2 linked regions of the Kluyveromyces lactis genome follow. Each later gene encodes a partner of the first gene's protein in a complex. Links are inferred from orthologs where the notes say so. Each region holds a gene or a part of one and is shown on either strand. Other genes may lie near its edges. The genes, in order: SAS3 and PDP3.

The links.
Region 2: SAS3 (region 1) and PDP3 share a complex: the UniProt entries of both Saccharomyces cerevisiae proteins name them as parts of the nuA3 histone acetyltransferase (HAT) complex. The link is inferred for Kluyveromyces lactis from reciprocal best matches to the Saccharomyces cerevisiae genes SAS3 and PDP3.

Annotation. Positions count from the first base shown.
Region 1 is NC_006041.1:1,767,569-1,786,143, forward strand, and holds SAS3 (histone acetyltransferase), read left to right. Parts: upstream 1-4,209; coding exon 4,210-6,408; downstream 6,409-18,575. Other genes in the region: PIN4 (Pin4p), read left to right, coding at 1-1,063; KLLA0_E19867g (uncharacterized protein), read left to right, coding at 1,655-2,026; KLLA0_E19889g (NAD(P)-dependent alcohol dehydrogenase), read left to right, coding at 2,493-3,593; KLLA0_E19933g (SANT/Myb-like DNA-binding domain-containing protein), read right to left, coding at 6,966-8,717; KLLA0_E19955g (3'-5'-exodeoxyribonuclease), read left to right, coding at 9,649-10,995; KLLA0_E19977g (PP2C family serine/threonine-protein phosphatase), read right to left, coding at 11,631-12,947; anthranilate synthase TRP2, read left to right, coding at 13,781-15,307; PTH2 (aminoacyl-tRNA hydrolase), read left to right, coding at 15,696-16,340; protein phosphatase regulator SHP1, read right to left, coding at 16,483-17,685; MET6 (5-methyltetrahydropteroyltriglutamate-homocysteine S-methyltransferase), read right to left, coding at 18,438-18,575. UniProt on the Saccharomyces cerevisiae protein: Catalytic component of the NuA3 histone acetyltransferase complex, that acetylates H3K14. The NuA3 HAT complex has 2 functionally distinct forms.
Region 2 is NC_006038.1:945,436-959,520, reverse strand, and holds PDP3 (Pdp3p), read right to left. Parts: upstream 12,407-14,085; coding exon 11,393-12,406; downstream 1-11,392. Other genes in the region: KAR3 (Kar3p), read right to left, coding at 1-536; rRNA-processing protein RRP15, read left to right, coding at 1,117-1,878; PPT1 (protein serine/threonine phosphatase), read right to left, coding at 2,035-3,573; ribosome biosynthesis protein NOC4, read right to left, coding at 3,837-5,402; ASN1 (asparagine synthase (glutamine-hydrolyzing) 1), read left to right, coding at 6,686-8,410; AAA family ATPase VPS4, read left to right, coding at 8,891-10,183; KLLA0_B10824g (pyridoxal 5'-phosphate synthase), read right to left, coding at 10,341-10,928; BSP1 (Bsp1p), read right to left, coding at 13,087-14,085. UniProt on the Saccharomyces cerevisiae protein: Histone-binding component of the NuA3b histone acetyltransferase complex. Targets the NuA3b HAT complex via histone H3K36me3 to the coding regions of actively transcribed genes to coordinate transcription elongation.

The sequences.
Region 1 (18,575 bases):
TGCCAACCTCGTGTTGCCACCTCAGCAGCTAGATTTCAATGACCCTGACACACTTGAGATTTACAGTCAGTTGCTTTTGTTCAAAGATAGAGAAAAGAGATATTACGAATTGGCTTACCCTATCGGTGTATCAGCCAATCACAAAAGGGTTATTAACGTACTATGTTCATTCTTGGGTCTTATTGAAGTCTATGATCCAAGTTTTATAATAATCAGACGTAAGAGCCTGGACCATGCCACTTTACAAACCCATCTGCAACAACAAGGCCAAATGGACATGATGCAACCTTTACAACCTTCATCAACCGGTGGTTCCATTTCCAGATCTCAATCTTACACCAGTTTACTCCAAGCACATGCATCGATGAGTCATGGAATACTTTCACAACCCAACGCTTCTAAAAACTTGGGAAACTTACAAGGCACATCTACTCAATCAGCTGGACCTGTATCTAATGCTTCTACTACAGCTACTACGGGCAGTAACTCCACTGCAAACCAACCACCATCCCCAGGTCAACCTTTAATGCAGACATCTTCCTCTCTTCATCAGGATAATGGTGCTAGTTTGAGGAACCAAGTCACAACACCATCCATAATGCAGAACAGAATACCATCTGGTTTCCAAACAAATACTCAGCAACACATGACTTCTTCTAGTCTGTTAAGGAACCAGGGTATTTCTCCCCCGCAACAACAGATTGGCATAAATCAATCTAACACTGTGCGGGTTCCTTCTTTATACCAGTCACAACCAGGCACACCAGGCATCAACGAAAACAGATTTGCGCAATTAACTTCTGCTCAATTGCAACAGCAACAATCTCAACAACAACAACAACCTCTAGCACCGCAGCATACTTCAGAGTCCATTCATTCCAACTACAGTGTTCATTCTATCCACGACTATGTTCCTGGTTCTAACAACCAAGGTTACCAATCGGGCTCTATATCAGCTAGTGGTGACATGCTGGATGATGGTTTGACCAGAAGTTTAAGTGGATTGGATCTAGGAAAGAGACATGGAACTTCGGCTACTAACAGTAATAATCTATGGAGCTGAGTTTTTCTACTGTTTTACCTGTCTCGACTTTACTTAATACACTCTCACAACTTCCGTAAACACCCTTAATGTTACCAAAGTTTAAAGCGATGACAATAATGATTACGATAATTAATATGAAGCCTCCCCCTCTAAAAAATAAAAATCACTTGACGATAACGGACGGTAATACCCAAATTATTACCACACACTATAAACTTAATACTGTTATACACATACACATTGACTCCGATCTATCTTTCGTTCCACTCCTCCCAATTTTCCTTATTACATGAACTGTTCTTAAACAACCCAAAACCTGAGTCAATTTCTTCTCGCAATCTGATTCAATGTAACTACTATCCATCCTTCACCTTCTTTCAAAAGTCGATGAGTAACGAACACTAATTAATGTACTTGTACGATCTATATAATCTTTACTAATCTATCACACACTATTTGATATGCTATTTGGCACTTGGCTAAATGTAAATACGTTTCAAACAAGAGAAGCGGATGATTTATGAGGCAAGAATAGGCACGAGTGCATTTGGCTGCTGGAGAAAAAGATAAACGCCGCCACATCGAAACATCATACAGATAACTCATCATATGGAGGAGTACCAAGGTCTGGCAGTTTCCGTTAATACGACTGAAACAATGGTGAACTGTTCGAAGCTCTCTGTGGACGAAGAAGAAAAGAAAACCAGAAAGAATTTCGGTGCATTCAAACCAAGCTATGCAAGAAATGTGGTGTTTCTAGTGGAAAAGCCAATTTTCTTTGCTGACAAAGAAACGCAGCATTTACGTGTTTACTGGCAGTTCCTGAAATACGCCCTTTTCTTTTATCACTCGAGGTGCAACTGGAAATGCAATTTCAGTTTGCCGTTCAGCAATAGGAAGATTCCATACAAATTCGTAAAAACTTTACTGAAAAAAAGAAAAAGCCTGGCTCTGATTAATAATCGCTATGAAGCTCAATAATCATGTTTCGAATGTCAAGTTCTCTGAAGAGCAAACAAGTGTCCAGTTTAACGGCGTGTATGGTTGTTCGTAATTACGTATGAGGGCGTGGCTGTACTTTGGTTTCTCCAAATGGTGGTCTAGTAGCTACATAGAAACAAATATTATCCTTACTAAAGTAACAGAACAGAACAGAATAATGATGGTTTACAAATCCAATCTTTCATATAACGAACTAAAGGAGAAAACTGGGAGCATACAGTAGTTAGTACATAGCAACACGCACACACACTCGCATATATACACTTCTCTGTCTCAACTGATCGATTGTCGAAAAAGTATAAAAGAAGCACGGTCACCACACTCTTTCAGAAAAGTTCCCTCGGACAATAATCCTCTCATCGGATCAAACTATCCATCTCTATACCAAACAAACATCAACAGGTAAAAGCAGAAACATAACCAATAGGAAAAATAAAAAGAAGCAATGTCGTACCCAGATAATTTTGAAGGTTTTGCAGTAGTCGATAGCCACAAAAAATGGTTAAGTCCAGAAAAGGTTGTATACCCTGCCAAGCAATTTAATCCAAGAGATGTTGACATTGAAATTGAGGCATGTGGTGTTTGCGGTAGTGATGTTCACTGTGCCAAGGGTAATTGGGGTGAAATGAAGTTGCCGTTGGTTGTTGGGCATGAAATCATTGGTAAAGTGGTTAGACTTGGTGATAAGTGTGATACCGGTTTGAAGGTTGGTGACCGTGTTGGTGTTGGTGCACAAGTCAGTGCTTGTTTGGACTGTAACCGTTGTAACAATGACAACGAACAATACTGTCCAAAATTCGTTACCACTTACTCTCAACCATACTTTGAAGATGGTTATGTTGGTCAAGGTGGTTACGCATCTCACATCAGAGTCCACGAACATTTCGTGATTCCAATCCCAGAATCTTTAGAAACCAACAATGTTGCACCATTGCTATGTGGTGGTGCCACTGTGTATTCTCCATTGAAGAGAAATGGATGTGGCCCAGGTAAGAAAGTCGGTATCGTTGGTATCGGAGGTATTGGTCACATGGGTATTCTATTAGCCAAAGCCATGGGTGCCGAAGTGTACGCCATCTCTAGATCCCATGCCAAGGAGGAAACATCCAAGCAATTGGGTGCAGACCATTACATTGCCACTGAAGATGAAGGTTGGGAAACCAAGTATTTCGATACATTGGATTTCATGGTTCTATGTGGTAACTCATTGTCGGCCGTTGATTTCGGCAAGCTACCAAAGATTTTGAAAGCTCAAGGTGTTATTGCATCCATTTCTGTCCCTGATCAGCATGAAGCCATACATTTACATCCAGCGCAACTTCTAGGATTCCAGATTACTCAATCTTGTCTAGCATCTCGTGCAGAAATCATTGAAATGTTGAACTTGGTGGCTGAAAAGAAGATCAAACTATGGGTTGAAACGGTTCCAATCAGTGAGGAAAATATCTCCACAGTGTTCAAAAGAATGGAAAGCGGTGATGTTCGTTTCAGATTCACACTAACTGACTTTGATAAACAGTTTGACCAATTCAAAGCCAAGAAATAGGCGTTGAACTGTATAAATTATATAGATGGTTGACACGTTGTTCATAGCTTAAGTCACTTATATATACATACTATGACATAAACGTCAAAATGGAAACACACATAAAATACAACCTACAATTTATACACATTGCAAGGAACGGCTTTCATAAACACCAGAGGACGGTAAGGGTACAGTAAAGTGCATGAAATGCAGTCACTGTAGCCAAGGTTACCTTTCCAGTAACCGAAAATTTCTCGAAGAAGAGCAACAAGATCATGGGAAATATTTGCTAACTGAGCTGGTATGAAAGATACAAAAAAATACAGATATCACGTGACCATCAAGAAACCGAAATTTTTGATGCAGCAGTAACATGGATCTGTATTGTTTTGCTTCATTTCATAGGAGAAAGAATGATATAGGCAACCGGTTTTTGTAAATGTAAGACCTAGATTGCTTGCTGTTAGTTTCGTTTACTATAACTCGGACTTTGTGAGTTCTTGTGAGAATGTGTTTTTAGAATAGACATTCTTCTCTTCTAAAACTAGTAAAGGTACTATCCTCTCTATTTGTTTACCTTATATTGAAAGAAGAAATAATAATTCATCAAGTGGCAGTCATCGCATATTTAAGAATGACGACTTCTAAGCGAAATAGACTGCTGAAGGAACTTCTGATTGATGATAATATACATTCCAAAGTACAGGCTGATTTATGGGACGCTGGAGATGGTGGAGTACGACGGAAACGCACCAGAGATAGACATGACAAGTCGTCGGATCATATAGGCTATAACGGTGCTGATGATTCTGGGGTGCAACCGGAGAAGAATAAGGACAAGAAACTTAAAACGATTGTTATACCATCTGATTGGAATGAGATGAACAGCCATGTGCAATTTTCAGACGATCGTAGAATTATTACTATCAGGTATAATCCGTTGAAGTTGCTTGATTTCAATCAAGTGTTGAACAGAGGCAGCGATCTCGACGTAAAAGTACCGTCAATTCCGCTAAATGGCATTGACTTTGAGATATATGAAACTGAAAATTTGTTAACATCTCTTGATAACGATGCTCAGTTCCCTTATCGTGGCGCAATTGAAAATAAGCAGGATTATACAACTCATAGGACCATTCCTCGTGTCAAAGATAGAGAGTTTTTTCTAACTTTGCTGCGTAAGTCCCAAACAGCAGCTCGTTTCAATGGTAACACACTCCTGGCATTTCCAAATGATGAAGCTCATAATCAAGATAAGAAACGGTTAAAGCCAACAGCTTTGATGCATTCTGCGAAGACAACCAACGTGGAATATGTTTATTTCCAAAATTATGAGATCAAAACTTGGTATAAGGCTCCCTACCCTGAAGAGTATAACAAGAACGAAATTATCTATATTTGCGACAAGTGTTTGAAATATATGAGTTCAAAGTATGTCTATTATAGGCATCAGTTGAAATGTGATTATATCCACCCGCCAGGAAACCAAATTTATAGAGATATGGACCAAGGGTTCGCCATTTGGGAAGTAGACGGAAGAGAGAACGTTATTTATTGTCAGAATTTATGTTTACTAGCGAAACTTTTTTTAAATTCGAAAACTTTGTATTATGACGTGGAACCCTTTATGTTTTACACCATAACAGTATGGGAGGACGAAGAATGGAAATTTGTTGGATATTTTTCTAAGGAAAAGCTAAACTCAACTGGTTATAACCTAAGTTGTATTCTTACTTTACCACATTTTCAAAGGCGCGGTATCGGACATCTACTGATGGACTTTTCATATCTCTTATCAAGAAGGGAATTTAAACTAGGCACTCCCGAGAAACCTTTGAGTGATCTTGGTTTGGTATCTTATCGAATATACTGGAAAAATAAGATGGTGCAAACGCTTAATATGTTATTTGAAGAACTGGGTGATTCATTCGCTTGTACCATAGACGACTTGTCCAATCTAACCGGTATGAATCATTCGGATGTGATATTCGGCCTGGAACAGATTGGATGTCTATACAAATACAACGATGAAGCCTCAGGTAAATGCAAATATGCAGTGAAAGTAGAAGATTGGGATATCTTGTGTCAGTTATTTGAACAGTCTAGAGCGAAAATGAAATATACTTTGGACCCTTCCAGATTTGTTTGGAAGCATGTCATTTTCGGTCCTTCGTGTGGAATCAATGCCGTTGGAACCATGGTAGAAACAAATGTTAGCCAGCAAAGAATTACGTCTGCCGCTGGTTCAACAGCTGCTGATCCATTCAAACAAAGTATATCTGTTCTAACGAATTTTATGAGTGACGATTTGGCGGATCCAAGAACGATGGAAGAAGCTGCAATGGAAAAGATTAAGCAACAAACTATTCCTGTATCCTTGTCTGATAAATCTTTAGTTCGAGCATATACACTTCCAAGCAATATCAAGGAAAAAATCATTAAGGCAAGCAAAATAAAACCTGAATTCAAACAACTCAATACGAAGCTCGGGGGGACTATTCCAGCTCTCAATGAAGGTACACCTTCTGGCGATGCTTCTGATGCCAAAACACTGATCAGCGGAGGTATGCACGATGATATAAATGGCGATGAGCAAGAAATTGAGGAAGAGTTTGAAGAGGCAGACGGTTTAGAAGATGAAGGTTTCTCGCTAGATGATGCAGAAGCTGAGGAGTATTCAGATGATGATGAAGATGATGATCAAGTGCCACCGCCTCCAGAGGAAATAGCGACTCCTAGGGTCAGTAGATCTCTAAGAAAACTCAGACAGCACAATCCCGTAGAAAATGAAGTTCAGCAAAGACCACAGAGAGTCTTACGGAATAGAGTTTGAATATTAATTAAAGGATAACCTAATCATAGTAATGCGTGGCCATGACATGTGTTTATGAGAAGAAAACTGATAATAGTGTAATATCTAATATATGCATGTATATATGTATATGATTGTAAGAATAGCGAAAATTAATGCCATCATTGATATAGCAGTAAAATGTAAATAACAAAACAACGTAATAGTACGCACTTTTCATTTAAGTGTTTATGCAAAAGGAGCAGCCCGTGTCCCTTTGCTATAATAAACTGAATAGGGACATTATTATGACAAAAAATAACCATATGGTACAGTTCAAATGATTTGGCATAAAGATAACACTGTAACAGTATTATTGATGTTCTATTGTAGTTATAGTACTTGTACAATGGGGTCATAATCAGGAAAGTGTGTGCGTTTATGTGATAGTAAATCAACGACAATGATGATTGAAGTAGCAGCGACTGGCGCCACGATACACTTCGGGGTTCATGTTCATACATGTCTGAAAGTGGTTTGTAAAGTAGTTTTTTAAGTTTTTGGTTCTTGATAATGGTATTAATACAGACAGTTTATCATCAAACAATGTGCTTGAATATCGTATTCAAACTAGGCAGTGGCTGAGTTGGCACTTGCGGTAGTCGATGGTTTTGTGGTGGTTGAGGAGATTGCGATGAATTCGGAGTGAACTGGGGCGTTTGTTCATTACTAGCCTGTGTTTGAAGAATTTGCTTCGGTACGCTGGCAGGCATCCTATTGCCATAAAAAGATGAGTTGTTCACATCAGAAATAGTTGGAGAATGGTCTCTCAAGGAATGAGCGTCCGGTGAAAACACTGGCGATCTCTCACGAGCGGAAGAACCAGTCGAAGATGTTTGAGAAAACGTAGGAGATTCATCTCTTAGCTGAGTTGGGGCAATAGAGTCTTCCATGCGGCCAACAATCTCTACATCAACATCAACATCGTCAATGTCGTCATGCTCCTCTACGGCAGTATCTGGTGAGTAAGTAGAGTGGACCTCATCTGAAGAACTCGATTGATTAACATTGGCGGAAGGACTAGCAGTACTAACTGCATCGCTAGGCGTTATATGTAACGAATCCATTCTCCATTGGATCTCTTGTTCTGATCTATGAGGTAACAAGATTGAAAGCTCATCAATGGACAAGTGGTACCTTTGACGTTTTTCTACCAACAACTTATCCTCATCGCCAGACCAAGGTTTTGCAAAGCCATTGAATGATCCAACGGCACATACGGATGAAGGAGGGGGTTGAGAGCTTTGTTTTATGGGCATATCAATGAAACCTGCTTGCATAGACTCACGTCTAAACTGAGAGACAGAGTTCCTTCTAGACATAGATGGATTCGTCGTGAAGCTTTCTCTCCTTGGATTCGCGGAAGATGCGGGCAAAGTTGATGAAGGCATGACAACAACGGAAGATCTTCTAGAAGATCCGTTAGAAGACATTGGGATGAAATGCCTGTCGGATGCTACGTTGAAAGAGGAACGTCTGGAGCGCGAGGAGAAGGAATTTTTCCTTGATTTCGTACTGGCCAGGTTTGGCAAGTTCGATTGTGGAGTGTTATTCACAACGACCGCGGAACCACGTCTACTCTTGATGAAGACTTTTGGAATAAAACCAAAATTTTCCTCTTGATCATTGAAATGGGGCATATTTGGTGGGGCGTCCTGTGAATGAGAGGAAGACCTGGGCTTTATAAATTTCCCATGAGGAGCAGGAGAAGCAGTAGAGAACGGAGACTTGGACAACGATCCGGAATGTGCAAGTCCGTTTACCGATAGGACACTAGATCCAGCTGTAGCAGCAGATGACGAAAAAACACCCATGTTGCTATTGTTATTATTAGTAGCACTCCCACTACCATTCAACCCATGAGGTGACGAAAGAACGGCACTATTGGTAACTTTTGAGGTCGGAATTGGCATGGGCATGGGCATCGGTCCCGTAGAACTAGACTTCTTTGCCGTATTCTTCTTCGCCGTCGAAGAGGACCCAGTGTTTAAAGATTCCGCGCTCAACGTAGGTCCTGCAGAAACAGCCATTGGAGCAAGTACTGGAACAGTCACATTTAACAACTCATCCTCCTCCTCATCCTCCTCCTCTGGCGACTTCACCGTCTTTAAACTGCCAGATTTTAACCTTCTCCACCGAAATTGGCACGCGTTAGGAGTTCTATTCGTAAAATACTGAGCAATATCCTTCCATCCCAGTCTTTTCACCTCTTTCAAGTGTCGCAACAAGACATCGTCCTGAGGTTCCCACGAACTCGGAGTCCTACTGGAAACGTTTTTTGGTGCAGTCATCTACCCTTTCACTTAAAAATATTGTGAGTTATAATTGTAAAGTATCAGCAACCAAAACAAAATCCACTATTTAGAGCAGTAAAACCAAAATTCAGCTCAAAAATTTTCGAAATGTAATCAAAACGACAGTAACAGCTTTCTAATAGCTCTAATTCTCTAGCTCAAAGACCTGTTCTCATTAACACAACGAGAGGGAATAAAAATTTTGAACGGTCCAAAATAAAACCGACAGTAGTTTATGAACGATTTTTCTTTTTAAACAACAAAAAATCGCCTTAAATTCCTTCCAAAATCGGCTAACAATAAACTAACGTATTGACAGTTATGCTCTGAGTCGATATCACTGAGGTCAGACTGAGTACTGAACCAATAAAGACAGGTTTCTGCCTAGGAAACAAAGAGTGTCAAGTTAAATGACAAGACTCGATGAGGTCGAGTTTAGTGGCTTTTTCTTCGTCGCGATGAGTTGGAAAAAAAAAAAATTTCGAATTTTTTCAGTGTGACAGCGATGAGATGAGGTGACAGGTGAGATGAGAAGAGATGAGATGTGATGTGAGTATACTGAGTGAGGGTCCTGTATCTTACCGTTCACGTGTCTTTTTTTGTTTTTTTCGTCTGTGTACTTCTTGCAAATGGGGTTCCCCGGTTGGTTTGGGACTGGTGCGTTAGTCTACGCCTTCGGAAAGCTATTGCAGTAGTGTGTAGAATGTGTCAAAATAAGCTTATGGGAGGTAGGGGGATGCACTCCGGGAGGTGATAAGTGCGTTGGTAGGCCATTGGATAGGCTTCGGAAGATACCCATTACACGATATTTTTGGACATCGTGTGGCATGTACGGTCTGTGAATGTTTCCATGCGGACTTGAGTCACAGAGTGGAGCTTAACCTTACATCCGGGTAACACTCGAAAATTCTGTACAAGCCATCTCACGATGCGCAAGAGGATATGCAACTCATCCCACTTCAGAACGATAAAAGGACTTCCTGTTTGTTTGGCATATTTTCGGTTCATTATGGCCATTGTATATCACTGTGAAACAGCTTCTACACTGTATATGTCCAGAGCACTTCAGAAGATGACAGGTTTGAAACAGATAAGGTACTTTGACATTGGGTTCAATATCTCTGATCACATGTTCAAAGGGAAATACCATGGCAAGAAGCAGCACGAGACGGATTTATCCAATATATTGAACCGTTGTAGATTGACTAATGTGGATAAGCTGCTGATTACCGGATCTTCACTGGAAGAATCGAGACATTCCATTAAGCTTTGTAGTGAATTTGCAACTGAAAATGGACCAAAGATGATGTACACCATCGGGGTGCATCCGTGTCAGGTTAACGAATTCATGCCCAAACACTCAAAATCGTACCGGAAATCAGATTCAAGCGAGGATCTTCCGTTTGCAATTGAAAACCATCAGTTTACCAAAGCTAGATTGCACGAATTGTATGATTTGTGGAAACTCCAAGCAATGACCGATAACGAGCATTTCAGGGCCATTGGTGAAATTGGGTTGGATTATGATAGATTCCATTTCTCGGGACTGGAAATCCAAAAGTTCTTCTTCCTGGAACAATTGAAGTTAAGTTGCTTCTTCCCTGATAAACCGTTGTTCTTACACATGAGAAGCTGTGCTGATGATTTCTTGCACATCTTGAAATTATTCATCAATGGTTTCAACGATGATAAGGATTTATTTGGCTATAAATCGTGGATCGATCCAAGCGTACCAGATTCACCAATATTGAATACAGACGGCTCTGTAACTTATAAGTTCAGTGCTGCGAGGAAATTTGTCGTTCACTCTTTCACAGGATCAGTACAAGATATGGAAATATTACTGGATTGCTCCCAAAATTGCTATTTCAGCGTCAACGGCTGTTCAATGAGATCTGAGGAGAGCATTGAAATGATTAAATCACTTCCTGTTGATAAATTACTACTGGAAACAGACGCACCATGGTGCGACGTGAGAAGGACACATGCTTCATACAGATTTTTGAATCAAGATGCAGATCCCAAAATCGAAAATTGTTGGGATCATGGATTATCTGCTGCATACCCCACACTAGACCAATGGTTCAAATCTGTCAAGAAAGAGAAACTTCAAACAATCCCACGCGAACAATGGGATCTGTATATGGTGAAGTCTAGAAATGAGCCTTGTACAATGGGGCATGTGGCGACAGCAGTTGCTAATATCAAACAAATTCCATTGATCGATCTAGTTGACCAAGTATGGCATACTTCTTGTCTTGTTTACGAAGATTGAACTTGTCGCCTTCACACTCTATACTTCAAGGTTTCATCGAACCTATATTCAATAGAAAATTAAAGCGTGATTTATTAATGATAAAAAAGTAGAATATACATAGAGAAAAGTGAGGTTGAAAATAGCTGATAGAGATCTGAATTGCAACTGTCAAAGTTTTTACATGATATTCTGTTCTATCTTAGTCATTAGAGTTTGTCATGTTGTTTAGATTGTTGAGATATCGTTGTATTATTATTTTTTTTTACTTTAATGAAATATGAAAGGTTTTGCTGTATAACTCGTTGCCCTTCCAGGGGTCCCAGAATTATGTCGTAAGGCTGTATTTCTAATTGTAACAGTAATGGCACAACTTAGTGAATAATTGATTAGAATTCAAAATTGGATCGAATATATATTATCGGAATATATCAGGAGAATACGAGAAATAGAAAGGAAAAGATGATGAAAAGATAAAGATGAACAACATTGGATGCAAACACGTTAAAGTTGATAGTGTGTAATATTTTTGCAAGGAATAGTACCTGCACAGTGATTACAACTGCTCGCTTCCGTCTTGCCCTTTGTATCGAGAGTGGAAAATAAAAAAAATAAACGCACAAAGAATGAAATAATTAAAAAATGCAAATACGAGTTCAATCTTTTTTCACTTCAGATTCTTCAACTTCATCAGCATGAGTTGGTTCGTCTGCTTCATCTTCTTCATCGTCTTCATCTTCTTCTTCAATTTGTGACCTTATTCCACCACTTAACGACGCCAAAACTTCCGATAATGCAGTACCATGGATGTAAGATAAGTTGTTCTCGCCAGGCGTTATCTGAATTCCACCGGAACCAAGTATGGCCTCTAGGTTAGCGAGGCTAGATGCGCCTCTGTCAGCACCAACTTTTCTATCATCATTGTAATCAGTTTCATCAGATTCTCTCTTGTTTGTTACTTCAAAGACATGATCGTCATTTTCTGGGAAATCATAGAAATGGAACACAGCTCTTCTTTGGTTCTCGAAGGAGTTTGGTGGAGTGTAATTCTTTGCTACGATACGTTTATGCCAAGCAGTTTCGTCTTCGTCTTCTTTCAACAACGCTACAATGATAATACTCATGTTATCACAACCGATACCCGTTCCTTCAGTGGTTGGAGAACAACAAACGTCGATAATCTTGGAACTTATTTCTTCTAGAGTTAATCCTTGTTTTAACCCGTAATGCACCAAATCAACACAGTCCTGGGATGTTAGACAATCCCAGATACCGTCACATGCCAGTATAACAAATTCATCACTGTTGTAATCTATGGTGTGTTCAATCAAATCTGGTACACAGGTAACAATCTGTTCATGGGGAGCCAAATCTGGGTTGGATTTGAATTCAAAATCACCGATGGCACGAGACAAGGCCAAATTACCATTAACACGGTCCATTTCCACGAACCCATCAGCAGTGACGATTCTGGAATATTCAGACTTCAACGTAGGTTTATGATCGTACGATAACGCCTTAGCAATATGGTTTCTTGAAAGAACAGTTCTTGAATCCCCAGAGTTAGCACAAATCATTACATTTTGTAATTTAGAGATTAATAAAGTCGTTGCAGTGCATCCACTATGGTCGTTCGCTAACACGGGATCCTTCAAAAGCTCTTCATCTGTCGCAATAAAAGATTGAATAAGAGCCTCGTTGTAAGACTTCTTCTTGAAAGCATCCTGTTTTTGTAAAATCTTGGAGAACTGTGATCCACAGAACTGAGCAACGCTTGAACCACCATGTCCGTCAAACACACAGTAGTACGCCAAATGCTCCTTCTCATCATCAGAAATGTTCAAATCAACAATGTGAGAATCTTCCATAGACATACGCCATCCTTGCATAGCACATAACCCAAAAGCAGTCAAAACATCACTACCAGAATGTTGTTCCTTATCAATTACAGGATTAGACAAAATTTGACCCATTGTTTCTATTAAAAAAAGGCTTGTTATTAGTCTCTTCGTCCGTCCTTTCAACCAATAAAAAGGATGTGTCGACTGTATTGAAATTCTTGGAGAAACAAACTTCAATTAAACAGTACAGCAGCTTATTGTACCACCTTCTTCCAACCAATTGCTATCTTGATCCGCTGATATCTTTGAGGTGGCGAAATAAACAACTCTTCCTTTTAATATTTTCGTTTCAAAACAACAAAATTGCCGAAAACTTGTGACAAAGGTTTCACCAAATTCAACATCTGAGCAATGGAAAGAAGTGATATAGCAGGGACCCTACGGCTTTCATCTGGATTTGGGGGGACTTATCCAATCCATACTATCTGTGGACTGCTAAACAGCTTGAAATTGGGATTTCTAGCTGATCTTTGGCAATATTAGGACACAGTGTGCTGTATCTAGCGTTGGAATCACCAGATGTCCATCACGTGACTTCGTTCTCTCGGTTGTAGTCTCAATTACATAAAGCTTGTTCTTTCCCTTATAAGGACGGTTATTGCATCAGTGACTAAGTAGCTCGGTCATATGTATGTACTATTGAAGCATTGGAATTGACAGCTAACACCTGTCTGTGTACCATTTATCGTGTCTCTTTCACTTCATTATGACTCAATTTCATAGTATCCAGACTTTGGACATTGAAAAATTTAACAAGATGAGTTAAATGACTTGTCTATAAAACAGTGAGCATTGTGAAATATTTGGAGCAACCCACCATTGCAGTCCTAGATTTGAGTATATCTGGTTGTTATATTTAGGTAAAGAAGTGATTAGAGATATTCTTACAGAAATATACACTAAAAATGGCTTCTGATCATATTACTATTCAGCCATCAATTGAGGTGATTAAAGAATGCATCGCTGCTAATGATGATTCCATCAATATGTACCCAGTATACCACTTCATGCCAGCAATGGACCTTACACCTCATGTGGCGTATTTGAAAATGAGTGAGTTGAACAATAAGGAGAGGTCACCATCTTTTCTATTTGAATCCGCAAACGGTAACCAATTGAGTCGATACTCGTTTTTTGGTCATAGTCCACGTAAGATTATCAAGACTGGTCCTACTGAAGGTCAAGCGTGTGACCCATTGAATATTCTACAAGACGAATTGGCTCAGTATCGATTGGCTGAAAATGTTCCAGGCTTACCCAAGCTTTCTGGTGGTGCTATTGGTTATGTTTCTTACGACTGTGTTCAGTATTTTGAACCAAAGACGAAGAGACCATTGAAAGATGTGCTACAAGTACCAGAATCTGCTTTGATGCTATACGATACCATTGTTGCATTTGATCATGTTTTCCAAAGGTTCCAGATCATAACTAATATCAATGTGAAGACGGTCTCATCTTTGGAACAAGGTTACGAAGATGCATCTGAGATTATCAAACGCATTATCGCCATCTTGAAGGATGAATCTAGTCCGATACCATTACCTGAACAACCATCAATCAAATTGAACCAGACTTTCACATCAAACATTGGTCAAGAAGGATACGAACAGCACGTGAGAGATTTGAAAGAACATATCAAGAAGGGTGATATCATCCAATGTGTTCCATCTCAACGTGTCGCTAGACCAACTTCACTTCACCCATTCAATATCTACAAACACTTGCGTACTGTGAATCCCTCGCCATACTTATTCTATATCGATTATTTGGATTTCCAAATCATTGGTGCTTCACCTGAATTGTTATGCCAAGTTGATGCCAAAAACGAAGTTATCACTCATCCCATTGCTGGTACAGTCAGAAGGGGTCAGACTCCAGAAGAAGATGACAGATTAGCGGAAGAGTTGAGAAATTCTACTAAGGACAGAGCAGAACATGTGATGTTAGTTGATCTAGCCCGTAATGATGTGAACAGGGTCTGTGATCCAACCACCACTTCCGTGGATGAGTTACTTTCAGTGCAAAAGTTCTCTCACGTCCAACATCTTGTCTCTCAAGTCAGTGGTACACTAAGGAAGGATCAAAACAGATTTGATGCTCTAAGGTCTATTTTCCCTGCAGGAACAGTTTCTGGTGCTCCTAAGGTCAAGGCCATGGAATTGATCGGAGAACTGGAAGGTGAAAAACGGGGTGTTTACGCTGGTGCCGTTGGACACTGGTCATATGACGGAAAATCCATGGACACATGCATTGCCTTGAGAACAATGGTTTATAAAGACGGTATAGCCTATTTGCAAGCTGGTGGTGGTATCATATTTGATTCTGACCCATATGATGAGTACGTAGAAACAATGAACAAAATGAAAGCTAACCACAATACTATTCTACAAGCAGAGCAAATTTGGGCTGAGAAAGTTGGCACTCAAGACTAGCGCTGTATATGTCATATCCACTAATAGTTGAACCTGAACCTTTCCCGTTTCGTTCACAGTATGTATTCTATCGTGTATTCACATTAGACTTGTTATAGAATTGTAAAAAGGTAGCTTTAAGTGTACCATGGATGCACATATGAATGGATTAATGCCACTGGATAAATATACGAAAGGTAGGAGTAGGAATCTGGTGGTCTAAAGTACCAGCAGACGTCCTACTTCATACGTTTCTATCCAGCAGTTGCATATAATCTTTTCTTTAGGAAAATTTTACATTAAACCGATATATTCCAAGTGATGACAAGGAGATCACTGGCAGAGCATATTAAAGCAGAGGAAACTGACACTATCACTACAGCTACATCAAACCATAACTGCTATCCAGATGGCACCATCATCGTTGAATTTAGCAGTGTTGTTCACGCTGTCAGCATTATCTCTGACAACTGGATATTATCTTGGACAGATAACACCATCAAGGAAGGATGAGATACAAGAATTGTTGAAACAAGCGAAGATTAAGGCTGAGCGAGATGAGCAAGCGTATGCCAGTGAACATGACGATGGTGATGAGGACGAGGATGAAGACGAATCTGAGGATGAAGATGAAGATGAAGATGGCATTGCAGTAGATTCCATATGCCTAAATGACATTCCTGGTGAAGTAAGGATGGCCTTGGTTATCAGGCAAGATTTGGGAATGACTAAAGGGAAAATCGCTGCTCAATGTTGTCATGCTGCATTAGCCTGTTTTAGGCTTATTGCGTGTGATCCAAGTAGAACTTCATATAATCCGGAGATGACTCACAGATGGTTGGCAAGAGGTCAAGCAAAGATTACTTTAAAATGTCCAGATAAGGAAACAATGGATGAGCTCTTCGCTAAGGCTATTGCATTAGGAGTTAACTCATACGTTGTTCATGATGCTGGTAGAACACAAATTGCAGCGGGAAGTGCTACTGTTTTAGGTTTGGGACCTGCTCCGAAAGCAGTCCTTGACCAAATTACTGGTGATCTCAAGCTTTACTGATACTTCGATCTCTCAAATCGTTGGAATAATCATCGACTGCATAAACAACTCTATCCTGAAAATATAAGGATTTAGGTTGTCTCCGTATATTTAAACTTGTACATATGTAATAATCTTTGTAAAATTATACTATATTTAAGATTTATACCCATCTTTGGACCACCACTGCATTGCATAGGTCTTGATCTTTCAAAGTGGAGTCAAATTCGTCAATGGGTTTTACGGGAAATGCATGGCTTAGTGTAAATGGGCGCATTTCTGCTGTGTTAGCTTTAACATGCTGGTACAAGAATCTGATGGTATCTGTAGAGTTACAACGTAACACCTCCCTCTTCCCAGAAGCATATCTGATCTGTACACTAGTGTCTCCCTTTAGCTCGTCATCTGGCGATTTTTCTTTGATTTCAGTCCCTACTGGAGTAGATTCGGCAGGCGATGCTGATTGAGAGTTTACTGCATCACCAGGAATGGGTGAGCCCAATCTCTTACCTGTTCCTTGGAAGCCACTCACTTTTCTCTTAGGTGGAACGTAAGGCTCTTCCAACTTTTTATAGACCGTGACATCGACCTCTTGTCCGAATTCGACGTCCAATAACTGCAAAGGAGCTCTTCCTTGGTTTAGTTCTTTCAAATAGAAACTATTTTCTGGGTCGTCGTAACGATATAGTTTGCCATCACCGACTTGGAATCCATCTTTCCAAAACGTAATTTCCCTTGTCACTTTTTTAGGTTTTGATACGACCGGGGTATCATCCTCAACCACTGTTGGTGGAGCAGAAACATCGGATCCTAGCCTATAACCTTTACCAACAAAATGATGTTTCTTACTTTCTGCTTCCTCATTCTCTTCTTCCTCCTGTTCTGCTCTTTCACCGCCTCTGCGTGCCTTTTGTAAAAGATCCCTAATTAAAGAATTAGAGTCATTAGCGTGTGGGTCGGTGATTTCAAGTCCTGAAGTCTCACCGCCAGCAAAAGTGTTCCGATCTTCATCTTCATCATCACCTCCTTTCAATATATCAGAGAAGGATTGGAATTTAGACTTAGACTTGGGTTTCTGCGATGGAGAAGGTGTTGACCTAGGTAAAGCAATCTTTTGGCCACTCAAGGTTCTTGCGTATGTAACGTCATCTTTCGCCGAGGAGTTAGACAATTCACCCTGGCTAGCAGCTTTTGGAATCGGCTGTTCAAAGGATGCTTTCGTTTTAGGCTCTTGCTCATCCTGTTGGGTAGCATAGAAGGCATTCAATGCTTCTCCCAAGTCACCAAACTGGTTTAAATAATCTGAAGCGACATTCACTGAGGTGTTGGTCAATGCGACAAATTGCTGGATTTGTTCGTCAGACATGGTAAATATCGTATGTGGTATCTCAGATTCTATATCGTGTTACAATTGTAATTGTATCGTCGTAATGGAGTGCAATATCTTGCCATGACAAGTGGCAAGTTTTCCTTATGGCATCTCTACCTAAATGAAATTGTCTTAATTTGAAAGTTCATTACTTTTCATAGAAAAACCTTTAAAACGAATCTGTAAGAAAAGGAAAGTAACATGATAAACACAGACATCTTAGGCAGGATAGTAACTGAGACTGTGGGGAAATATTATGTTTGTAGCAGAAATGTTGTGGTTTGATGTTTTTTTTGAAACGAATGTTGAATGCGTTTATAATATACAAGAGGTTATTTAATTATTAAAAACATAACTCATGACAGTTTATAATTTGGGGACCTTTAACGATTGAATATCTTTGGAATGATGAGCAAAGATGAAGTTCGCCATTAAGGTCTATGAAATAATGTGATGTGATCGGAAGAAATGGGATAAATAAACAGACCAAAAAAAAAAAGATGTAAAAGGTAAAGCCCGATGTTGAATCCGTGAAGAACTTATATCAAATAAGATCTTCGTTTGTATTATGTGTCAGTTTACAATAAGCAATTCATTGGAAATAATAGACCACTTGAAGCATTGAAAGACACTTAAAATGAAATAAAAGTTGTTATTGGTTAATGCTGATTTTTTATTCTGTTCCTTAATCCAATAATGCATAATAGATAAAAAGACGCTTGAGTGTTGTTACAAACTCACGAGTCTATTTATTTCTTAGCGTAGATTTCACGGAAGTGCTTAGCAGCGTTAACCATGTTGGTCAAGGTAGCCTTGGTTTCTTCCCAGCCTCTAGTCTTCAAACCACAGTCTGGGTTAACCCAGAACTTTTCAGCTGGGTAGTACTT
Region 2 (14,085 bases), on another chromosome or scaffold:
TGCTGCACTTCAAATTTGAATTTCGACTCTGTTTCATTCATTTCACAGTGGTATTTTCCCTCTATCTTCTTTATTTCTAGATCAAATCCGTTTCTCATAAACTCTAACTTCAATTCATGATCTTGATCCATGCTATTCAATTCATTCTGCTTTAACCCGATTTGTCGTACTTTCACTTGTTTCTCCTCTTTCAAATTGTTCATTTTGAACTCTACAGTTTCCACTTTGCTTTTCAACGAGTTCATCTCATCCTGTGCGGTATTCAACTTGATCTTTTTTCTGGACAACTCTTCTTGCAATCTATTCAGTTCTTTCAGGTTTTCTTTGTAAAAGAATGTCATATGAGTTGAGCTTCTATTTTCAGTACTGGGCGTGAGAGACCTTCTTCTGTTTATACTCTGTACATCTTCTGGATTCAATCTTATCGACTGCCTTGGTTTGTATTTTGGTGAACTTGAACCCTGCTGGGTTGGAGAAGGTATATTAGAACCGTCCTTCGATGAACATCTTTCTGGCGTTGACGGCGGTCCATTCATATTCCGTTTGATTATCAGCCAACCAGTTTAATTTAGTCAAACCCACTACCTTATTACACGTCTTTTCCAAAGCGGTACTGGTTTATATACGTTCTTCAATTGCTATGTCTCCTTTGGTGTTTCAAGATTGTTTTGTTTTCGGTTGATCTTATTATTTGTTTACATCTTTACTAGTATATGTGACATATTTCGAAACTGAACCGGCTTCAGTACACAACAAACCTTCTTTGGGTAGCTTGAACAAGTAGAGGAACCATTACAGATACACCACACTCCAATAAACCCAACAGTCGGGGAACCACAGGCTAGTAAGAGAGTTCAGCTTCAAGTTTCTTATGACGGCGGCTCCACCAACGTCAAATTTGCAGTGGTGTATGGGTGTGTTGATAGAATGTATTTCTTTTTGTTAGTGAACATGCCAAAAAAAATTTCAGTGAAGCACAACTCATCTCATCGCTTTCAAGACTGTATCTGGGCCTTTAGGATCCATCATTGAATTCACACTATCTCAATAGAAGGTTAACTTGCCGGTAGATTGTGCAGTGGACAGCTTTGTATTGTATAGCCGCCTGAAAATACTATGAGTAGCAAGGGTAAAGTGACAATACCTGTCACCAAAAAGAGCAAGTTGAATGACAAGTCTGCAAAGATCAGGGCTCAAACGAAAGTCAAAGAGAATGAAGTATCACAATTGGCTGATGAAGTAGATTCTGATGTGGATTCTGAAGGCAGTACAGGTTCCGAAATAGATAACGATGAAATGGATCTAAATGAAGTGTCGAGTGATGACGCCAGTGATGAAGACAGTGACGATGAAGATGTGGTGAACCAACCAGATGACGATGACTTCCCAAGAAAGAAGAAGTCTTCCAAATCCAAACACGATGATGGATCATCCACATTTTCCAGCGCGTTAACCAATATTTTATCATCGCATTTGAAAGCATACGACCGTAAAGATCCCATTATGGCTAGGAATAAGAAAGTTTTAAAGCAAAATGAAGCAGATAAGTTAGAGCAAAAGGCTAAGAGAGCTATACTCACAGAGAAGAAACAACTACTCAATAAGACTAGAAAGAAAGATATTATACCTGTTGTGGCTGCAGACGCAAACTCGGATGAAATTAGAGAAATTCTTGAGAAGGAACGTAAACTAAGAAAGATTGCCCAGAAAGGTGTTGTGAAGTTATTCAATGCAATTCTCTCTACTCAGGTTAAGACTGAAAAGGAAATCAATGACTCATTGGGTGGTGTGAAGAACCGTTCAGAGAGAAAAGAGTTGATAACGGAGGTTTCCAAGGAGAAGTTCTTTGATTTGGTGAAAACTGCTGGTGACAGTTGAAAAGAGGAAGTTCTATATGATAGAGGGAATCATCTGCATTTATTAAAGCGCAAAACTATGTACATATATAGGTAATCCCAAAGACTGTATAATAGACTAATAATATTATTAATTACAACTTTATCGAAAAAAGATCAGATCAGGTCAGATGAGGGATCAAAATCCTAACCCTCCATTTGAATATGCCATTGGTTTAATATCTGGATGTGGTGAAGCAGAGAAAGTTTCTATTACCAAGTCGCTGTCGATAGATGATTTCTTTTCAGATTTTGTGTTTGGAACAACATGAATGATTGCACCGAGGTTGCCACCGGCGTCACAGTAGTTAGGAGCACTGAAAACAGTGACCAATTGATTCTCATGCTCAAATTCGTAACCGCCTTGTCTAACTTCATGAGACCTGAAGATTCGCTTTAAATTATTCTGTTTCAAGAACTTTCTAGTAATGTCAGGCCCAAACGCATTACTTAAGCCACGAGGAGATGGTCCAAATCCATCCGGAGCCTGTGGATCCGCCCATAATAACTCCATAAATGTTCCCTCTCTTGGTGGTTGGTGGAATCTATCAATTTTCTTCATATCTTCTACAGTGGCAGAAGTATCACTTGGCAAACCACCATGCACGACCAGGTATGAACTATTGATGACAGTGGCTAATGGTAGAGATTCGAAGCTTTGTGAGAAAAGATCGAAAATGCGCTGGGAGTACTTGTATTTGCATTCGTCTTCAAACCCGTACACTTTATTCATGCTGTTGGTTTCATGATTACCTCTGTTCAAGTAAATGTTCTGTGGATACACGATTTTCAAAGAATAGAATAAAATGGCCACTTCACAAGACCATGATCCACGGTCTACGAAATCACCATTGAATAAATATACATTGGAGCCGCCTACTTTCCCATAACTTTTGAAGATGTTCAGAACATCATAAAATTGACCATGCGTGTCACCACATACAGAAATTCTTGTATCCGGCTTTTCTCTGTTATCAAGTTCAACAACACTGTTTTCTTGCTTGAACAAATAGTCTGCATGAGAAATGATCGCTGCAACGTAAGCCTTTGGAAGCTTTTTACCTTCTAGGAAAATCTCATTAATCATATAAGAAATGAATTCCTGGTTCATATTGTTAACTCTGACACCAGCATTGGCCCCAGAATCTGACTTCACTTGTTCGAATTCCAAGGTTTTACCATCATATTTGAGGAGATCGGCATTTGCATCGAATGAGCTGATATTTAAAGTTTGACATAAATCAACTTTAGAAGAGTCTCCACCGCTAATAGCTTTTTCAAAATTCTCCTTCTGTATGACTTTATCACAGATTGCTAATGCATTTTTTGCAGTGAGCTCGTTAGGCTTGAATTTCAACACAATGATCAAGTCCTTCCTTGCCTTTCTAAACTCTAGTAGCCCAATGTAAGACATAGCTCTGCGGTGATAGGCTTTCAAATTGTTATTATCCAATTCAATTGCACGTTTAGCATCGTCTAAAGAACTTTGGAAGTTATCCAACTTTAGGTTGGTGAACGCACGGTTTGAATATAGGATCGTATTCTCGGGATCATGCTCGATGGCTTTTGTATAATACTCAGCTGCCTTTGCGTACAGTTTCTCCTTCACGAACTTGTTACCTTCATTCTTCAGCTCTAAGGCTTTCTCTGGATTACAGGCTTTCACTTCCTCAGTCATTTATTCAATAGTAGTGGTAAAAAAGCAGCCAACTGGTATGGTATGTGCCTTTAAGTCCTCAAGACCGATAAACGGAGCCCATTTTAAAGTTTTTTCTGATGTGAGTCTTTCTCTTCTTGATGTTGACTTGTTGATTTTTTTCATCTCGATGTTTCAATATTACGGCGATGTGATGAGATGTAATGTGAAGAGATTTGCGAAAGTGAAAGAAAGTACTCAATTTGGAATTGAACTACTTAAGTTTTCTACTTGAAATTATGTATTTACCATTTTATGAAGGGTAGGAATGCTGAATCAGAACCTGATTCGAAAATTGTTTCAAACCTTTCGAATTCAAGAGCAGGTTGGATCTTCAGCTTTCTATTGGTTTCTGCTTGCAAAAGTGAATCGTAAGACCAATCTAAGAAATCTTCGATGTTGTAGCTTAACTTTTGGAAAGGTTGTTGGAAAATCTTCGCTAAAGTGGCTACGTTTGGATGGTAGTGATTCATTAGCGTTTCTAGCTCCCATACTGAGGAGGAAAGAGCATTTGTAAGTTCTGGATTGGTTTCTTCATTGTTGAATGGATCTAGATATTCTTGCCTTTTCTTTGAATCGCAGTCGATGTATTCTGGATCGTGTAATAGAATCATACATGTAGGATGCTTTCTGATTAGATTGTACACGAATGGTATTATAGAAACAATAGCACCTGGTGGTGCCGATACGGATAAACGTGCCAAACGTTTGATGAATGACGCTACCAGTTGTGCGGATAAATGTGTAGAAGATAGAAAGGTGTCCACTAATCTGAAAAATCTTGATCTGTACTTAACGTGCATTACTTCTGGAGTTAGAAGCTGATATAGTTTTGAGTAGAAATTTGGATATTCTAGGTTGTATTTTTTCATAAGTTCAAACAAACCATTTAATGAAAGGATTGAAACGATACCACCTTGGTTGTAAGAGTCGGTAAGGAAATCCATAAGCTTTGTTGGTTGATGGAACCATACTATAATTCTCTTGTGTAGCACTAAAAGCACAGTTTTATATTGGCTACTGGATAAGTTGGCTAAATTTAGACAGTGCAACCAATTTGTTTCGAGGTTGGATTTAAACTTAGCATCATTCTCGATGGCTTGTGGGGGCACAGATACGAATATTTCCAAGTCTGGTGATCCCTGAACATCGTTGTTGCATAAAGCCAACCATTTAGACATCAAAATTTCGTCAGATGTTTGGCCATCAAGTTCTGGTAACAACGATATCAGTTCTGATTGTGTGTAGAATTGAATATCGAAATTCTTCTTATAATAGGCTTCCACAAATAGATTAAACACGGGATTCTCGCTCTGACCATCTTTGAAACCGATATCACCTTCAAAGTTACAATGGAAAAGAGCCACTAGTAACGATCTTAAAGTCTTATTTGGAAAGAAAGGACTATTTGGTTTCGAAGCCCAATATATCGATTCATGGTGAAGCATTTTCATATATGAGTCCAAACAATCTAAACTCAACGAGTTAACTTCATGCAAAGATGTAATGATAGCCAATAACTTAACCTTATAATTTAAATATAGTTTCTTACACCATTCAAAGAATTTCTTTTCATTGGCATTGGATGCAAGATGAGGCATCAATTGACCACGCTCAAAAAGTTTGATGAAAATCTGACTCAAAGCAATGGTCATATAACGGTAATCATCTTCCAAATTGTGCAACAATTCGTTTTCCTTTAGAAGTTCATTGTACCCATGGATTAGGTTCACCAACGAGTTGTAATGTTTTCTATCATTGCCGGTGCTAATAGACTTCCAAACTTGCTTAATCTCTTCCTTCGAGAGCATCTTGGTTAATCGCTGTCTGAATCCTTGGGAAACTTTTATATGTGAATTCCAATTATTTATTGCGAGTAATCAAACAGATTATAACGGTGAGAATATCCTACCTTAACGTTTCCTATTCGACTTCATCTCATCTCATCTCATCTCATCTCATCTCTTGATTCCAAATTTTTCAGAGATTCTTGCAATGTAGAAGACAATTGAAAAGAAATTATTCTTATCACGTGATCGCATTTCCTAATAAACTAGCTATCAATGGCGACATTAAATATATAATTTAGAGTGGTAAACCATTCTGTTGTCAGTCAAGTCTTGCCTGCATCACCTTGAATACGCACACTGATGCTCGTTCCTTCAGGGGGTGCGTATCCTCCAGTTCACGGCAGCCTATGAGCCCTAACAGCATACAAATTTCAACGATTAGTATAAAATGATCTAGCCCGAATTTCATCATATATAAGAGAAAGATTTATGAACCAAGAAATTACAAGACACAATTGGTGATGTAGAAGAGATGTAACTTTGATAGGCTTTACTTGTATTACTCTTTTTGGGCTTAAATCCACATGACCTTCCAAGTTTTAAAAGAAGACGATGATACTATTTGCGCTTTTTTAATTCTTACAATTCTTTCGTGGATGGGAATTATTTTCTGTTCATGGTTTTAATGGAGAATGTGGTGCCCTCGCAAGCCTTATAATCTTGTTACATTCTTTGAATGATTTGGGACACTTTTTATAAAATTCTGATTCTTTTTGGGAAGGTCATCCCATGTATAGACTTGATGTGAGTTTGTGTGTTTGAGTCTTGCTTCTTGCTAATATGAATCGCCTTGTGCGATTCATTTCAAAAACTAAACTAACTGTAAACGTAAACGTAAATATTAGATAGAAAAAAATGCCGTGATACGATGGTATCGTGAATATGACAAGTCGGAGCGGGAACAAATGAATCAACTATGAATCAGAGTTAGAATCTGGCACCAATTTTCATTTTCACTTCGTTACTTTTCGTTTCTCTGCTGCTTTGTCATATTCTTTTGATATGCAATTGATACTGAGTCATTTTCAATATCTCGAAAGAAAAAAGAATACGGCGATTCAAGCTCTGGTGAAAAATTTTGGAAAAAGTATAAAGAATTGATGCTCATCACAAGAAAACTAATGCTCGCTTGTAATAAGAATTGTTTATATGTTTATGTTAGGATCTTTGTTTTGTATTAGTATTGGTTTTTTACTCGCTCTTATCAATTAGATATACAGAATAACGAAGTAACAGGACCCAAGATGTGTGGTATATTTGCTTCATTCAGAAACCCTGATGTTCAGGCTTACAAACCAAAAGCTTTACAATTATCCAAGAGAATCAGACACCGTGGTCCAGATTGGTCAGGTAACATTGTTAAGAACTCTACTATTCTAGTTCACGAAAGATTGGCTATTGTCGGATTGGACTCTGGTGCCCAACCAATCACTTCCGAAGATGGTTCTTACACTTTGGCCGTCAATGGTGAAATTTACAACCATATCATGTTGAGAGAAGAATGTGCAAGCTATCCATTCAAGACTTTGTCTGACTGTGAACCTATCATTCCATTATACGAAAAGTACGATATCGATGCTCCAAAACACTTGGATGGTATGTTCGCTTGGTGTTTGTACGATTCTAAGAAGGATCGTATCATCGCTGCCAGAGACCCAATCGGTATTACCACTCTTTACATGGGTAGATCCTCTGCTTCTCCAAAGTCTGTTTGGTTCTCCAGTGAACTGAAATGTTTGACCGATGACTGTGATGAAATCATTGCTTTCCCACCAGGTCACGTATACGACTCTGAAACTGACAAATTGACCAGATATTTCACTCCTGACTGGTTGGACGAATCCAGAATTCCAACCACCCCAGTTGACTTTAAGGCTGTTAGAGAAAGTTTGGAAAAGGCTGTTAGAAAGAGATTAATGGCTGAAGTTCCTTACGGTGTTCTATTGTCCGGTGGTTTGGATTCCTCTTTGATTGCTGCTATTGCCGCAAGAGAAACAGAAAAAACTAATGCCGAACTTGATCCAGTTGTTTATGACAGTGACCCACATCAATTGGCTGGGCTTGACGAACAAGGTCATCTACATGCTGCTGGCTGGTCTAGATTGCACTCATTCGCTGTTGGTTTGCCAAACGCTCCAGATTTACAAGCTGCTCGTAAGGTGGCTACATTCATCGGTTCTATCCATCACGAACATACTTTCACTTTACAGGAAGGTCTAGACGCTTTGGACGATGTTATCTACCACTTAGAAACTTACGATGTCACTACTATCCGTGCTTCCACCCCAATGTTCTTGCTTTCTCGTAAGATCAAGGCTCAAGGTGTTAAGATGGTTTTGTCCGGTGAAGGTTCCGATGAAATCTTTGGTGGTTATCTATACTTCGCACAAGCTCCATCAGCTGCTGAATTCCACGTCGAATCTGTCAAGAGAGTTAAGAACTTGCACTTGGCTGATTGTTTGCGTGCTAACAAATCTACCATGGCTTGGGGTCTAGAAGCTCGTGTTCCATTCTTGGACAGGGACTTCCTACAACTATGTATGAACATTGATCCAAACGACAAGATGATCAAACCAGCTGAAGGTAAGATCGAAAAATACATTCTAAGAAAGGCATTCGATACCACGGATGAACCAGATTTGAAACCATACTTACCAGAAGAAATCTTGTGGAGACAAAAGGAACAATTCTCCGACGGTGTCGGTTACTCTTGGATTGATGGTCTAAAGGATGCAGCTGAAAGCACTATCTCTGATGAACAATTCGCTCAACCAAAGGCTGAATGGGGTGACGATATTCCAACTACCAAGGAAGCCTACTGGTACAGATTGAAGTTCGATGCTTTGTTCCCACAAAAGACCGCTGCTTCCACTGTCATGAGATGGATTCCAAAGGCTGACTGGGGTTGTGCTGAAGATCCTTCCGGTAGATACGCCAAGATCCACGAACAACACGTTGATAAAAAATAAGATCACTCTACTAATGTCTCTGTTATAAAATCTTATAAATATGTACAGAATAATTAAATAGAATTAGTACTTCCTCGATACAAATATACTATTTTATTTAACGTTAATGGCAAAAAGATATTTAGTGTGAGACTCTTCTATTATATGACTGGGGCATCTCTCTCATAAGCAATCTAGGATCACGACTGCTAGTATCCGAAGAGTGCTGTAGATGAACATTTCATTAGACATTGTAATTAATCACGTGATTTGATAAAGCATAGTCAAATACATTTTCTTATGTTGATGTTCCCAAGTAATTGCAAAAAGCCTATTATAATAGAGATACGTACTGCCTTAAATGTGTGTCGACTGATACGTGACTCAGTTTACCCCTCTGTTCCTGCTCCATAGTGATTTCGAAATACCATAGCCATTCAAATTGTAGAACGGCTTCAAGATTACAATTTAGTGTTCACTACTCACAGCACTTACATTGATATGAGCACCGGTGATTTTTTAACAAAGGGAATTGATTTAATACAAAAAGCCATTGATTTAGACACAGCTACGCAATATGACGAGGCTTACACCGCATATTACAATGGATTAGACTATTTGATGCTAGCATTAAAGTATGAGAAGAACCCCAAATCTAAGGACTTAATTCGAGCAAAATTCACTGAGTATCTGAATCGTGCAGAACAATTAAAGGAGCATTTGGAAACAGAACAACAGAAGAAACAAGAAAAGCCAAAAAAGGCAGCCACTGCTTCTGGTTCAGGTGGCAATTCCAATACAGAGGACGATGCAGACGATAAAAAGCTAAGAGGAGCCTTATCAGGGGCGATCTTGACAGAAAAGCCTAACGTTAAATGGGAGGATATCGCTGGTTTAGAAGGTGCTAAAGAAGCATTGAAGGAAGCTGTGATTCTTCCAGTGAAATTCCCACATCTTTTTAAGGGTAAACGTAAGCCTACGACTGGAATCTTGTTATATGGTCCACCAGGTACTGGTAAATCCTATTTAGCGAAAGCTGTTGCCACAGAAGCCAACTCTACCTTTTTCAGCATAAGTTCCAGTGACTTGGTTTCGAAATGGATGGGTGAGTCAGAAAGATTGGTCAAACAACTATTTGCCATGGCAAGAGAGAACAAGCCGTCCATCATTTTTATCGATGAAGTCGATGCATTGACCGGGCAAAGAGGAGAGGGAGAGAGTGAAGCAAGCAGAAGAATAAAAACAGAACTTTTGGTTCAAATGAATGGTGTAGGTAATGATTCCAGTGGAGTCTTAGTTCTAGGAGCAACTAATATCCCATGGCAGTTGGATAGTGCTATTAGAAGAAGATTTGAGAGAAGAATATATATTCCCCTACCTGACCTTGCGAGCAGAACAAAAATGTTTGAGTTGAACGTTGGTGATACACCATGTAAATTAACAAAAGAAGATTACAGATCTCTAGGGGAGATGACAGATGGTTATTCAGGATCCGATATTGCCGTGGTTGTCAAGGACGCATTAATGGAACCTGTCAGAAAGATTCAAATGGCAACACATTTCAAGAATTCGTCGGATGATCCAGACGTACGGAAGCTAACACCATGTTCGCCAGGCGATCCAGAAGCCATTGAAATGTCATGGACAGATATTGATGCTGATGAACTTCAGGAGCCTGATTTAACTGTAAAAGATTTCCTAAAGGCTATACAAACGTCAAGACCAACAGTTAATGAAGAAGATATACACAAACAGGAAGAGTTCACCAAAGACTTTGGTCAAGAGGGAAATTAGTTCGAATTCCAGCAGCAATTAAAAGATAATAGTAATGATGTTTCAAAATGCTTTCATGGGCAATATAGATAAATAATCATATACATAGAACGTAACTGAGTCATAATCCTAGCTGATTTTAGCATTAGAACACGAAATAACCCTGATTAATAATCCTTCAGGTATAGTAGCTTGTTCTGTTTTCGCTATCAGATATCTTTGCATCCAATATCTTAACCTTGATGATCACGTTGTCATCACCTTTGATATAACAATTAGCATCTGGATTCACTCTTAGTAGTTGCTTTTCATAGTAGTCGGATTCTTCAGATGATGGATCAATAACTGTCGCTGTACCTGATAGCGTGGCTGACATTTGTGATAGTTCAGATTGATTCAACTCTTGCAAAAGGTTGAGCAACCTACTTGGTTGTTCTTCAGAATCATTAGAATCTGGCACTGGAGTATTGGATACACTTGTTTTCCTCAGAGATAGTTTTTTTGCTGTGACCCAGTCATGGATCAAAAGAGATACAGATGGGTTAGCAATAATATTCTTATACTTTTGAGTAGACTTTGATGTGGCAAAGATAACATAATGACTATTGGAGCCTTCTTCATGAAAGGCTTTATGAGGAAGCACATATGTGTAGTTCATCAATGAAACATTAGGAATGCAGTCTTTAGAAGCTGTGGCTAAATGAACATATTTGGATGTTTTAAGCAAAGATACTAAATGCTCTGGCAAATCAACGGTAGTGGACATAACAACTTGAAAGTTATTGAAGTAATACTTGGCGTATTTGATAAACAATAAAAATTTACAGGAAATATAATTAAAATATCGGTTCCCTAATGTGCTAGCTTATGGGAAAGATGTCTGATGTTTGTAATGAAGTGCACAATTTTGCTACCTTAAAGTCATTTTAAAGGTTTTGGCAATTTTGTTAATAATAACAATTGATGGGGAACAGAGCGATAAACGTAAATAATGATACATTATGATTGAAGGGTCCAAGAAAAGAAGGAATAGGTACGGTGAGGTAACTGGAGAGGTGGTAGGGATGAGATTATGTAGGTTAATGTGATAGATTTTACATGAGAATAATGTCAGAATTGAATTGAATTTGTTATAAAGCAGTAATGCATTGTTTGTGCTTTCCTTTTGAACGGTTCTTTTGTGCTCTTATTATGAATCGAAGATATTAAAAGTGACAGTTGTGATCCACTCTATGGGGATAGCGAACCCTTCAGTTTCAGTTTTTCCTTTTTGATCTTTTGAACATGAGGTGCCCACACTTCCAATATAGTGTTACAAGATTCGTGAAACTGTGATAATTCAGGCATACTAGAAATGACTTTTAATAGTTTATGCAATTTGGATACCCTAAGGGCTTCTAAATCAAAGAATTCCGGTGTTGATTTAGTATGTGATAGGATTTTCCTCATGAGTTTATCAGACTCGGCAAGATCTGCATCTGTTGGTGGGGTATCTCGTTGAACCAAACACTTCTGTAATTTGTTACGGAATATTTGAGCAATCTCTACCCTACGTGAGTAGTCAAGCTTACTGCGTTTCTTGGGAGGTTCTTCTGGTACGAATGAAGGAGATGTCGAGAGAGATTCTGATGAGCTTTCCCTCTTCTTCTTGAAATCTGAAACAGATGTTGCGACAGGTGTAGATACCGGTGAGTCTCTATTTTTGTTTCCACTACTGGGCGACTTTTTAGCTTTGGTACTTCCGTTACTGTTATTATTGGAGGTAGAATCCTCTGATTCGCTTTCATTTCTTCTTCTGCCCCGTCTTTTATCCGTAGATTTAGTGTCTTCCAGTTTTAACTCAATATTGGAAAGTAATGGGTCCTCTCCCATCTTAACTTCAGCGATAGTTTCCAAATCATCCGCTCTTCCCTCCGCTGTCAACCTGTCTTCGACAAACTCTTGCAAACTCGTATAGTCGGATGCAAACTGGTAAGCTTTCTTCAACTCTTTCGAAGACCTTTTGGGCGGCGATTTTATCCACGCTTCTATATTTTCCTCAGTAAGAAGTTTTAACTGTTTTGGTTTAGTCCAATAATAGGTAGAATCGTTAAAAAATGCCACAGCAACTTGACCAACGTTCTCCTTCGCCTTCAGCACACTCTTACTCAATATCCGTTGAGGAACAACTACAGCTGGCCATGGTTCGTAACTGCCCACGGTGCAAAGAACCAGGTCACCAGTAACTAAAAGCCCGTCTGTCATATTTTGCTTAAATAGATTGTGTATTCGGATTGGTAAAATCTGTAAGTATAATGGAAAGGAAACTAAAACCCTAAATGTCAGGGCGTAAAGATCAAATAGTAAACTCTGATATCTCTCTTTCTCAGTTTCTTGAGCACTCAATAGGTAAACACAAATAACGGTTTCGACAGAAAGAATGCTAAACGCTAGAATAGAAGCTTTAAAATCTTACGCTCTAACTTCGCACTGGCAACACAAATAGCAAAGGAAAGAAGAGGCCGTATAACAGAATTAACTTGACCTCCTTCCCTAAATGAACTGAGATGAAAACGAAAACAAAACTCTTAAGCTACCAGTAATCACTTTTCTCACACACAACACCACAGTAATAGCTGCGTGTGTTCTGACCAGTGAAAGACTGTTTGGACGAAATATGAATGGGAACTTCGGCAATCAAAATTCCATATCAACTGCTCAAGAAGCATATATTGAATATAATTTGAAATAATTGATTGTTTTGTTTTGGATAAAAAAAAAGCTTTAAGGTCGGAAAATGGAATAAGTAATTAGGAATTAAAGGCATACGTATTTAGAAGGGTAACTTTACAAGATCAATGAACGCACATTAGCAGTTGACGAATGCGTTTTTGCCGGATTGTGCAACTAGTTTGTGGTTCGAGTTAATATGAATAAGGAGGTATTTACAATTTAGTGACGTCTGTTGGGAGCTTACGTTTTGGACCCTTAGAACGTACCTTTGTTAGCATTTTCTTTGTCTTCGCATTCAATGCGTCAGATGATGAGTTTGCAGATGATGCAGTTGACGACGCCAATGCCGATAGAGAGGCCTGACTACTGTTGATTGTTTTAATCAGTTGCTTTTGGAACTTTGAGCCATGCTTTTGTAGGCTCTTTAATGATGAAGAGGATTTCTTTTCAATTTCCGATTCCGTTGAGGATCTCAAAAGAGCTTGCCTCTTTGCCATCGCTTCAGGTATTTCTTCTACAGAACTGATAGAAGAAGGAGGTTTGTTCAGTTTAGACTTGGCTTTAACTGCTTCTGGAGTGATATCACGACGAGATGGTGCTGTGTGGGTCTTACGTAGCGATTTTCTTACAGCGAAAAATTCGTTTTGTTCGTCATATTCGTCATCGTCATCATCATTGCTGTTGTAAGCATCGTCATCAGATGGTAACGAAGGTCTTGATGATCTCACTTTAGGGTTTCTAAGTTCAGATTTTTTTGCAGGTTTCTTTGGTGCAACTTTACCGTTCTTTTTACCGTTGCATTTGGACTCTTCGTCGGTGGTACCCTGAGACAATCTAATTTTTTGGAAAACCTCGGAGAATTCGTCCACTGGATCAGTGTCGATGATGTTGTACTTGGCGGTAGAAGCCTTGCTAGAGTCCTTGCTAGAGTCCTTGCTAGAATTTCTTTTCTTTGGTGGAGGCGGAACTGCCTTTTTCGCCTTTCTTTGTGCAGCAACCGTTTCGGCGATATCATCGTGATCCTTGAAATTCCTGGAAGAGAAGACAGGTCCGGATTCGTTTAAATCGATCTCGTCATCGGATTCATCTTCAAACGATTTTTTGACCTTCCCATTCTTTGCACTCTTCTTTTTCTTTTTATCGGAGTCACCTCCAATTCTCACTGACAACGGTTTGTTACCATTGAATTCAGTGCCATCATCGTCGCTGAT